Linked DNA regions of Callithrix jacchus. The protein of the gene in region 1 purifies or fractionates together with the protein of each later gene. This does not show direct contact. Links are inferred from orthologs where the notes say so. Each region holds a gene or a part of one and is shown in the gene's direction. Other genes may lie near its edges.

What was found. Proteins that work in one complex are often made in the same cells at the same time.
Region 2: the proteins of ANAPC2 (region 1) and anaphase-promoting complex subunit 11 purify together in Homo sapiens (affinity purification with western blotting; 7 studies listed by BioGRID and IntAct, with this or other methods). This does not show direct contact. The link is inferred for Callithrix jacchus from reciprocal best matches to the Homo sapiens genes ANAPC2 and ANAPC11.

What each region holds. Positions count from the first base shown.
Region 1 is NC_133502.1:185,590,008-185,593,651, reverse strand, and holds part of ANAPC2 (anaphase-promoting complex subunit 2), read left to right. Parts: intron 1-125; coding exon 126-267; intron 268-509; coding exon 510-585; intron 586-649; coding exon 650-853; intron 854-3,523; exon of another isoform or gene 3,524-3,644. UniProt on the Homo sapiens protein: Together with the RING-H2 protein ANAPC11, constitutes the catalytic component of the anaphase promoting complex/cyclosome (APC/C), a cell cycle-regulated E3 ubiquitin ligase that controls progression through mitosis and the G1 phase of the cell cycle.
Region 2 is NC_133506.1:137,490,246-137,493,986, forward strand, and holds the start of anaphase-promoting complex subunit 11, read left to right. Parts: upstream 1-875; 5' UTR 876-1,006; exon of another isoform or gene 1,007-1,016; intron 1,017-1,951; 5' UTR 1,952-1,962; coding exon 1,963-2,071; intron 2,072-3,741. Other genes in the region: ALYREF (THO complex subunit 4), read right to left, coding at 476-733. UniProt on the Homo sapiens protein: Together with the cullin protein ANAPC2, constitutes the catalytic component of the anaphase promoting complex/cyclosome (APC/C), a cell cycle-regulated E3 ubiquitin ligase that controls progression through mitosis and the G1 phase of the cell cycle.

The sequences.
Region 1 (3,644 bases):
CCAGCCTCGAGGGCCTTCAGGAAAAGCCATGCTGGGCTATGCCTCGGGCATGGTGGGATGGGAGGGGGGTGCCCTATCCTTGCCAAGGTGCCTATCAGGTGACACCCCTGCCCCCGCTGTGCCAGGGAAGTCCAGCTCCAAGCGGCGCTCCTCAGACATTATCAGCCTGCTGGTCAGCATCTACGGCAGCAAGGACCTGTTCATCAATGAGTACCGCTCGCTGCTGGCCGACCGCCTACTGCACCAGCTCAGCTTCAGCCCGGAGCGGTGAGGCCAGGGAGGCGCCAGCCGTCTCCAGGGGTGCTGGGGCCCTTGCTGAGCCTGTCAGGACAGGGCCTGGGCCTGGTTGGACTGTGTGCCACCCCCACTCCTGGCTGGGGCTGAGCTGGCCGCCGGGGTGCCACGCAGGCCCCCTGCTCTGCCCGGGAGGTGCACCCATGACTGCTACAGGTGCTGCTTGGGACTGCAGCCCCTGCGACCCCCGCCCAGACACTGGTTCGTCTCTCCAGGGAGATCCGCAACGTAGAACTGCTGAAGCTGCGCTTTGGCGAGGCCCCGATGCACTTCTGCGAGGTCATGCTGAAGGTGGGTCCCGCCTCGCCCACCGCCCGCCACCCCCAGGCCCCCGTGACACCAGCTCCTCCCTCAGGATATGGCGGACTCCCGCCGCATCAATGCCAACATCCGGGAGGAGGACGAGAAGCGGCCGGTGGAGGAGCAGCCGCCATTCGGGGTCTATGCTGTCATCCTGTCCAGTGAGTTCTGGCCGCCCTTCAAGGATGAGAAGCTGGAGGTCCCTGAGGACATCAGGGCAGCCCTGGAGGCTTACTGCAAGAAGTACGAGCAGCTCAAGGTACCTCCAAGCCAGCCACCCCACAGGGCTCTCTGCACCTCACCCTGTGCTGCGGGCTCAGCAGCCTGGTGCCTATGGCCACCCCATTGTCTCCCGAGTGTCTAGGGTTGGTTATGTCTCACAGCCATCCCTGCAGGAGATGGAGTGGGCCCAGTCCACACTCCCTCTGCCTTCCTCACAGTGAGCCTGTGCCCCCTGTGAGCCAGCGTCCCTCGGCCCCACAGGTGCTCGGGTGGGCTGTGCTAGGCCCACATCTCCTGTGCTGCTTCACGGGGACTCCCGTGGCTCCAGCAGGCCGCACCCACTGAGCATTTCCTCCTCTTCTGCCATCTGCCCTCTGCCTCTCAGAACCAGGACTTGGGGTGCCTTGTGTCACTGCAGGTGAGGGCCAGGGAGCCAGGGCCACCCTCTGCCCAGGGCAGCGCTCCCAAGCGCACCTGACCCTGGGGCCCCAGCCCTGCCCCTGTTTCTAGATATTTCCCGGAGAACTGCATTTGCAGGTTCCCATGGTGCTTGAGGACCAGGGCTGTGGGACTGTGGTGGGAGTCGGGGGGAAGCAGACGTGGGGACTGGAGGAGCGAGCCCTGGCCTGGAGGTGCTGGCAAGTGGGGCCAGCGTGCCCAGAGTGGTGGTATCGGCCGTATTTGGCTCACGTCTCCTGGCAGCACCACCAATCCCAGCAGTCCCAGAACAGGTATCCAGGGCCCTGGGTATGGGACCACGCTTGGAGGTTTTTTCCCTGAGCTCATGTTCAGGTGAGATGTTTTGGGTCGAGGGAAGAGGTTAGGACCCCTGTGCAGCCAGGTCCCAGGGCTTTCAGTCTGGTGTGTGGGGCCCGTGAGGCCTCCGGTGTGCCCAGCGAATGCTCAGGCCTGGGGGGAGCTGAGCACCCCAGCAGGGGACACGTGAGGAGAGGGTCCTGGGGCAAAGCTGGTTTCCAGGCTGCAGACCCCAACCCCAGGAGGGAGATGGGCCAGCCGCAGCCTGGGCCAAGGCCGGCAGGTGGGGCTGAGTTCAAAGGAGGGTCCCCAGCTTCTCCAGGCCTGCTGTGACAGACGCTGGGTCTAGATGTGTTTCCTTTTTTTATCTGCCAAGTGAGAGGGCCTTGCTGTGTTGACAGACTAAGGAAGCTTATTCCTAGGGGAGGGCAAGGTGATGAGTCCACTTTAGAAACTAAGGGGGAAGTTGCAGAGACAGACAAGGGGAGGGCCAGGTAGAGGCACCCGGGGCAGGAGGCGGAGGTTGGGCCAGGCTGCTGATCTTGGTGGCGAGTGCCTGCTGCCTCCCTCCAGGCCTCAGCTTGGCTCTGGAAGAGTCCAGGTATCCCCCGCAGCTTGCCTGCCCCGGTGGAAAGGAGGGCCCTGGCCATCCCCCCACCTCCAGCTCCAGCCTGTGTCTCCAGAGTCTGCGGGCACCGAGCCTCCCCCGCCCCCTGCCCCCCGCCCTGCCATGTTCTGGTACAAGTCATTGGTGTGGCCGGGCTCCATGCACAGTCCCTCTCCCACTGACCCTCTGGCTGCCTCAGGCTCTCCAGTGCTGTTTCTGGGCGAGGCTCCCCTGGCCTCCCTCCAGGGTCCCCCTGGGATCCCAAGTGTGGCTCAGCCACTTCCCATTCCTCGGGCCTGACGTCCTGGGGCAGCCATACTCCAGTGCCCTTTGTCTTCACTTCACGGGATACAGGATGGCTCAGGAAGGTGCCGGGCTGTGCTGAGAGGTCCCACTAGCAGAGCTCCTGGCCTAGGGGCCTCGCTGGGCACATGGCTGGCATGCAGCCCTTTGCATCTGTACCTTAGGCACTTTGCTGGGCATGTGCTGGCATGTAGCCCTCAGCATCTGCACCTGAGCTCACTGGGCACATGGCTGGCATGCAGCCCTCAGCATCTGCACCTGAGCTTGTTGCTCCTGAGCCCTTCTTCCATTCTGGTGCAGGCTGATGAGTGGTGTTCGTGGAGGTCACGGCCCTGGAGCCAGAGCCAGGACCAAGGCCAACCACTGACTCCACCTCTATCTTCTGTCCGTAAAGTGGGGTTCGTTTCCTTTAAGAGCTGCCAGATTGGCCTGGCGGGGTGGCTCACGCCTGTAATCCCAGCACTTTGGGAGGCCAAGGCGGGTGGATCACGAGGTCAAGAGATCGAGACAATCCTGGTCAACATGGTGAAACCCCGTCTCTACTAAAAATACAAAAAATTAGCTGGGCATGGTGGCGCGTGCCTGTAATCCCAGCTACTTGAGAGGCTGAGGCAGGAGAATTGCCTGAACCCAGGAGGCGGAGGTTGCAGTGAGCCAAGATCGCACCATTGCACTCCAGCCTGGGTAACAAGAGCGAAACTCCGTCTCAAAAAAAAAAAAAGAGTTGCCAGATCCTGGAAGGGCTTAGGAGCCTGTGGCCCACAGAGCAGGCGTGTCAGTGCCCTGGTGCCACCAGAACAAAGTGCCACAAACCAAGGGGCTTAAAAGACCAGAAATGTATCATCTTATAGAGGTCAGGGTGAGCAGGGCCCTCTGGAGGCCCTAGGGGAAGGCTGCTTCCTTGCCTCTACCAGCTCTCTGGGGGCTGCAGGAGCTCCGGGGCTTGTGGATGGCTCGGTCCAGTCTCTGCTGCGTCGCCCGGAGTGTTCCCCTGTTCTGTTTGTATCCCCCTCTTGGACACTCACTCTACTCCAGGGTGACTTCATCTTAATTATATCTTTAATGACCATATTTTCAAATAAGATCACATCCGGGGTTCAGGGAGTTAGCAGTTCATGTGTCTTTTTTGGAGGGGCACATAACAACAATCTGCCCCATGGTG
Region 2 (3,741 bases), on another chromosome or scaffold:
ACCACAACAACAGCAGACCTGTGAGTCTCAGTCCAGGGCTTTCCCAGTCCTCGCGGCGACCCCGGACCCTTCCTCTTCCCGGCCTGAGAGGATCCGGCGGAGATGAGGCCGCCAGCGCTCCCTCCGGCCGCTAAAGCAGCCCCAGGTACGAGGCCGCACGGTCCCACCGCGGCAGCACAACTTCAGTTCCCTTCCACTAACTTCCCGCCGCTGTTGCCGCGCTCAGCTACCCCTCCGCTCACGCCGCCACGAGGTCCCGGCGGCCGGAACAAAGGGTTGAAAAGGGTCTCAGCCTCCGGGCCGGGCCCGGAATGAACGACCTCGCCCCCGCCCACCACCCCCTATGCGCCCTCCCACACGCACCCTCCGGACCTCCGGGCGGCCGCTCCACCAGCCCTATCAGCCAGCCGGGCTCGGCCTTCGCCGCCAGCCTCCCCGGCTTGCCCTCTCCGGTGCGGCCGGCCTCCACACTCACCCTGCTGTAGGGCGCCGGTCGGTTCCTCCCGCCTCCGCCGGCCGCGCCGCGGGCGATGGCCGGCCGGGTCCGGATAGGCCCGCCGCCTCGATTCACTCGCGCGGCGGCCTGCGCCCCGCCGCCGCGGCCGCCTTGGGAGCCGACCCGGCCGCGGCCCCGGCCCCCGCCGCGGCCTCCTCGCTGGCTCCGGTTCAGTTTAATGATGTCGTCCAGAGACATGTCCATTTTGTCGGCCATGGCGGGCGCGGAATCGGGCATCGGCTCGAGCCCGCGCGTCAGCACGCCAGCACGTCACCTCCGGCGCCGCGTGAGGCCTTCCGGTGCTACGGCCTCGGAGCGGCTAGTGATTGGCCGCCTGCGGACCGCAGCGCGCGCGGGACGGGGAGAGACGGGGAAGCGCGTGCGCACTGCCGCGCGGGACTCGGCGGGCGCTGCTGAGGGAGCCGGGCCGTGACTGTGGTCGTTTTTATACCTTCCCGCGCGGACGTCAGCGCTGCCAACGGAAGGGCGGGCAGAGCCGTGCGTGATTAGGTTGGCGAAGGTGCGAGGCCGCAGGGGGTTGGGCGGCGGTCGTTGGGAGTGGGGCATGCGCTCCCCTCCCTCCCCGCCTGCCCCGCCCTTCTGCTAGGGCTGGGGGCGCTGCGGGCGCGGCGGGTGTCCGGGAACCTGCGGGGGTCCTTGTTTCTGCGCCCGCCCGAGGGCTGTGCGCTTGGCTCGGGGCGGGATCCTGCGGGAGTGGCCTCAGCGGGCTGCAGCCGGTGCAGACCTGCTGCGGGTTGCTTTTTGGTTTTTGAGCCGGGGTTTTTGGTCTCCACCTGCAACCTCGAAGTCTCCAATCTCACATTTGCTAGTCATATCCTTTACAAGTTTTGGTACGGGCCCGGCGCGGGGCTCACGCCTGTGCTCCAAACTTTTTGGGAGGCCGAGGCAAGAGGATCGCTTCACCCTAGGAGTTTGAGACCAGCTGGGGCAACGTAGTGAGACCCCCATATCTAAAAAAAAAAAGTCGAAAGTCGGGTGTGCCATTGCACACTTGTAATCCCAGCTGCTTGGGAGGCCGAGGTGGAAGGATTGCTTGAGCTCAGTGAGGCCAGCCGGGCAACATAGTGAGACACTGTCTCTTAAAAAAAAAAAATTAGTCGGGCCGGGCGCGATGACTCATGTCTGTAATCCCAGCACTTTGGGAGGCCGGCTTGAACCCGGGAGGCGGAGATTGCAGTGAGCCAAGAGTGCGCCCTTGTACTCTAGCCTACACGACAGAGCAAGACTCCGTCTCAAAAACAAAAGAAAAGTAAAATAGAAACGGCTTACGATGTTCCTAGGCTGGGTTCGAATTCCTGGGCTGGAGTGATCTCCTGCCTTGGCCCCTTGAGTAGCTGAGACTACACTGTGCCAGGCTTATTCCTATTTTGGTGCCTAAATCTTCTAGTTCTGCAGACTAAATTAAGCCTGTCATCCTCTTCCCTTCGGGTACAGGCTCTGCTGCCATGAAGGTGAAGATTAAGTGCTGGAATGGCGTGGCCACTTGGCTCTGGGTGGCCAACGATGAGAACTGTGGCATCTGCAGGATGGCGTTTAATGGCTGCTGCCCCGACTGTGAGTGTCCCTTCCGCTGTCTGCCTGCTGGACTAGCCTCAGTGGCTCCTGTTAAATATACTTGCAGGAAATCCCCACATTTTCCTTTTTTTTTTTTGAGATGGAGTTTTGCTCTTGTTTCCCAGGCTGAAGTACAATGGTGCAATCTTGGCTTGCTGTAGCCTCTACCGCCCAGGTTCAAGGGATTCTCCTGCCTCAGCCTCCCAAGTAGCTGGGATTACCAGCATGCACCACCAAACCCTTCTAATTTTGTATTTTTAGTAGAGATGGTGTTTCTCCATGTTGGTCAGGCTGGTCTCAAACTTCCAGCTTCAGGTGATCTGCCCGCTTTGGCCTGCCAAAGTGCTGGGATTACAGGCGTGAGCCAATGCGCCCGGCCCCACATTTTCATTTTCATTTCTTGAAGAAAAGTTGATAGAAAAAAAGCCAGGTGGTTGGAACCCAGGTCAGTATAAAGATCCTTTCACTGCATTTGATAAGATGAAACTCAGCTGTGAAATACATGGCATTAAAAAGAGATTAAACTTTTTACTTGAAAGGTCTCAAAATTGAATGGCATAGGCTGGGCCTTATGGCTCACACCTGTAATCCCAGTGCTTTAGGAGGCCAGTGGGTGGATTGCTTCAGGCCAGGAGTTTGATACCAGCCTGGTCACCATAGCAAAAACTTGTCTCTATTGAAAATACATAAATATTAGCCGGGCATGTTGGTGGGTGGCCTGTAATCCAAGCTACTCCAGGCTGAGGCAGAAGAATCACTTGAACCTGGGAGGCGGAGGTTGCTGTGTGCCAAGATTGCACCACTGCACTCCAGCCTGGGCAACAGAGCAAGACTCAATCTCAAAAAAAAAAAAGTTGAATGGAATAAGGGCATTCCCTTTCCAGCACATTGAAAAACGGCAAATCATGTTTCCATATTAGCTTTATTTTTTGTGCCTAGTGATTTTTTTTTTTTTTTTTTTGAGATGGAGTTTTGCTCTTGTTACCCAGGCTGCAGTGCAATGGCACGATCTCGGCTCACCGCAACCTCCGCCTCCTGGGTTCAGGCAATTCTCCTACCTCAGCCTCCTGAGTAGCTGGAATTTACAGGCACGCACCACCGTGCCCAGCTAATTTTTTGTATTTTTAGTAGAGATGGGGTTTTACCATGTTGACCAGGATGGTCTCGACCTCTTGACCTCGTGTTCTACCCACCTCGGCCACCCAAAGTGCTGGGATTACAGGTGTGAGCCACTGCGCCCGGCCATGACTAATGATTTAAAATTTTATATCTGATGCATCTTCCCACACACTTCAGCCATGTGTCTTTTTACCCACCACTGTTGTACATCTGGCAGTTTCACAGTCATTCCTGCTTCTTGTTTCACCAGCTGTCCCCAAATGTCTTTTTTATGGTTGAGTGGTTTGAGCCAGGACTCGGCTTTTATTTTATTTTTTTTTGAGACAACGTCTCGCTCTGTCGCCCAGCTGGAGTACAGTGGGGTGATCTTGGTTCACTGCAACCTCTGCCTCCTGGGTTCAAGCAATTCTCCTTCCTCAGCCTTCTGAGTAGCTGGAATTACAGGCATGTGCTAACCATACCTGGCTAATTTTTGTGTTTTTAGTAGAGATGGGGTTTCACTATGTTGGTCAGGTTAGTCTCGAACTCCTGACCTCACAATATGCCTGCGT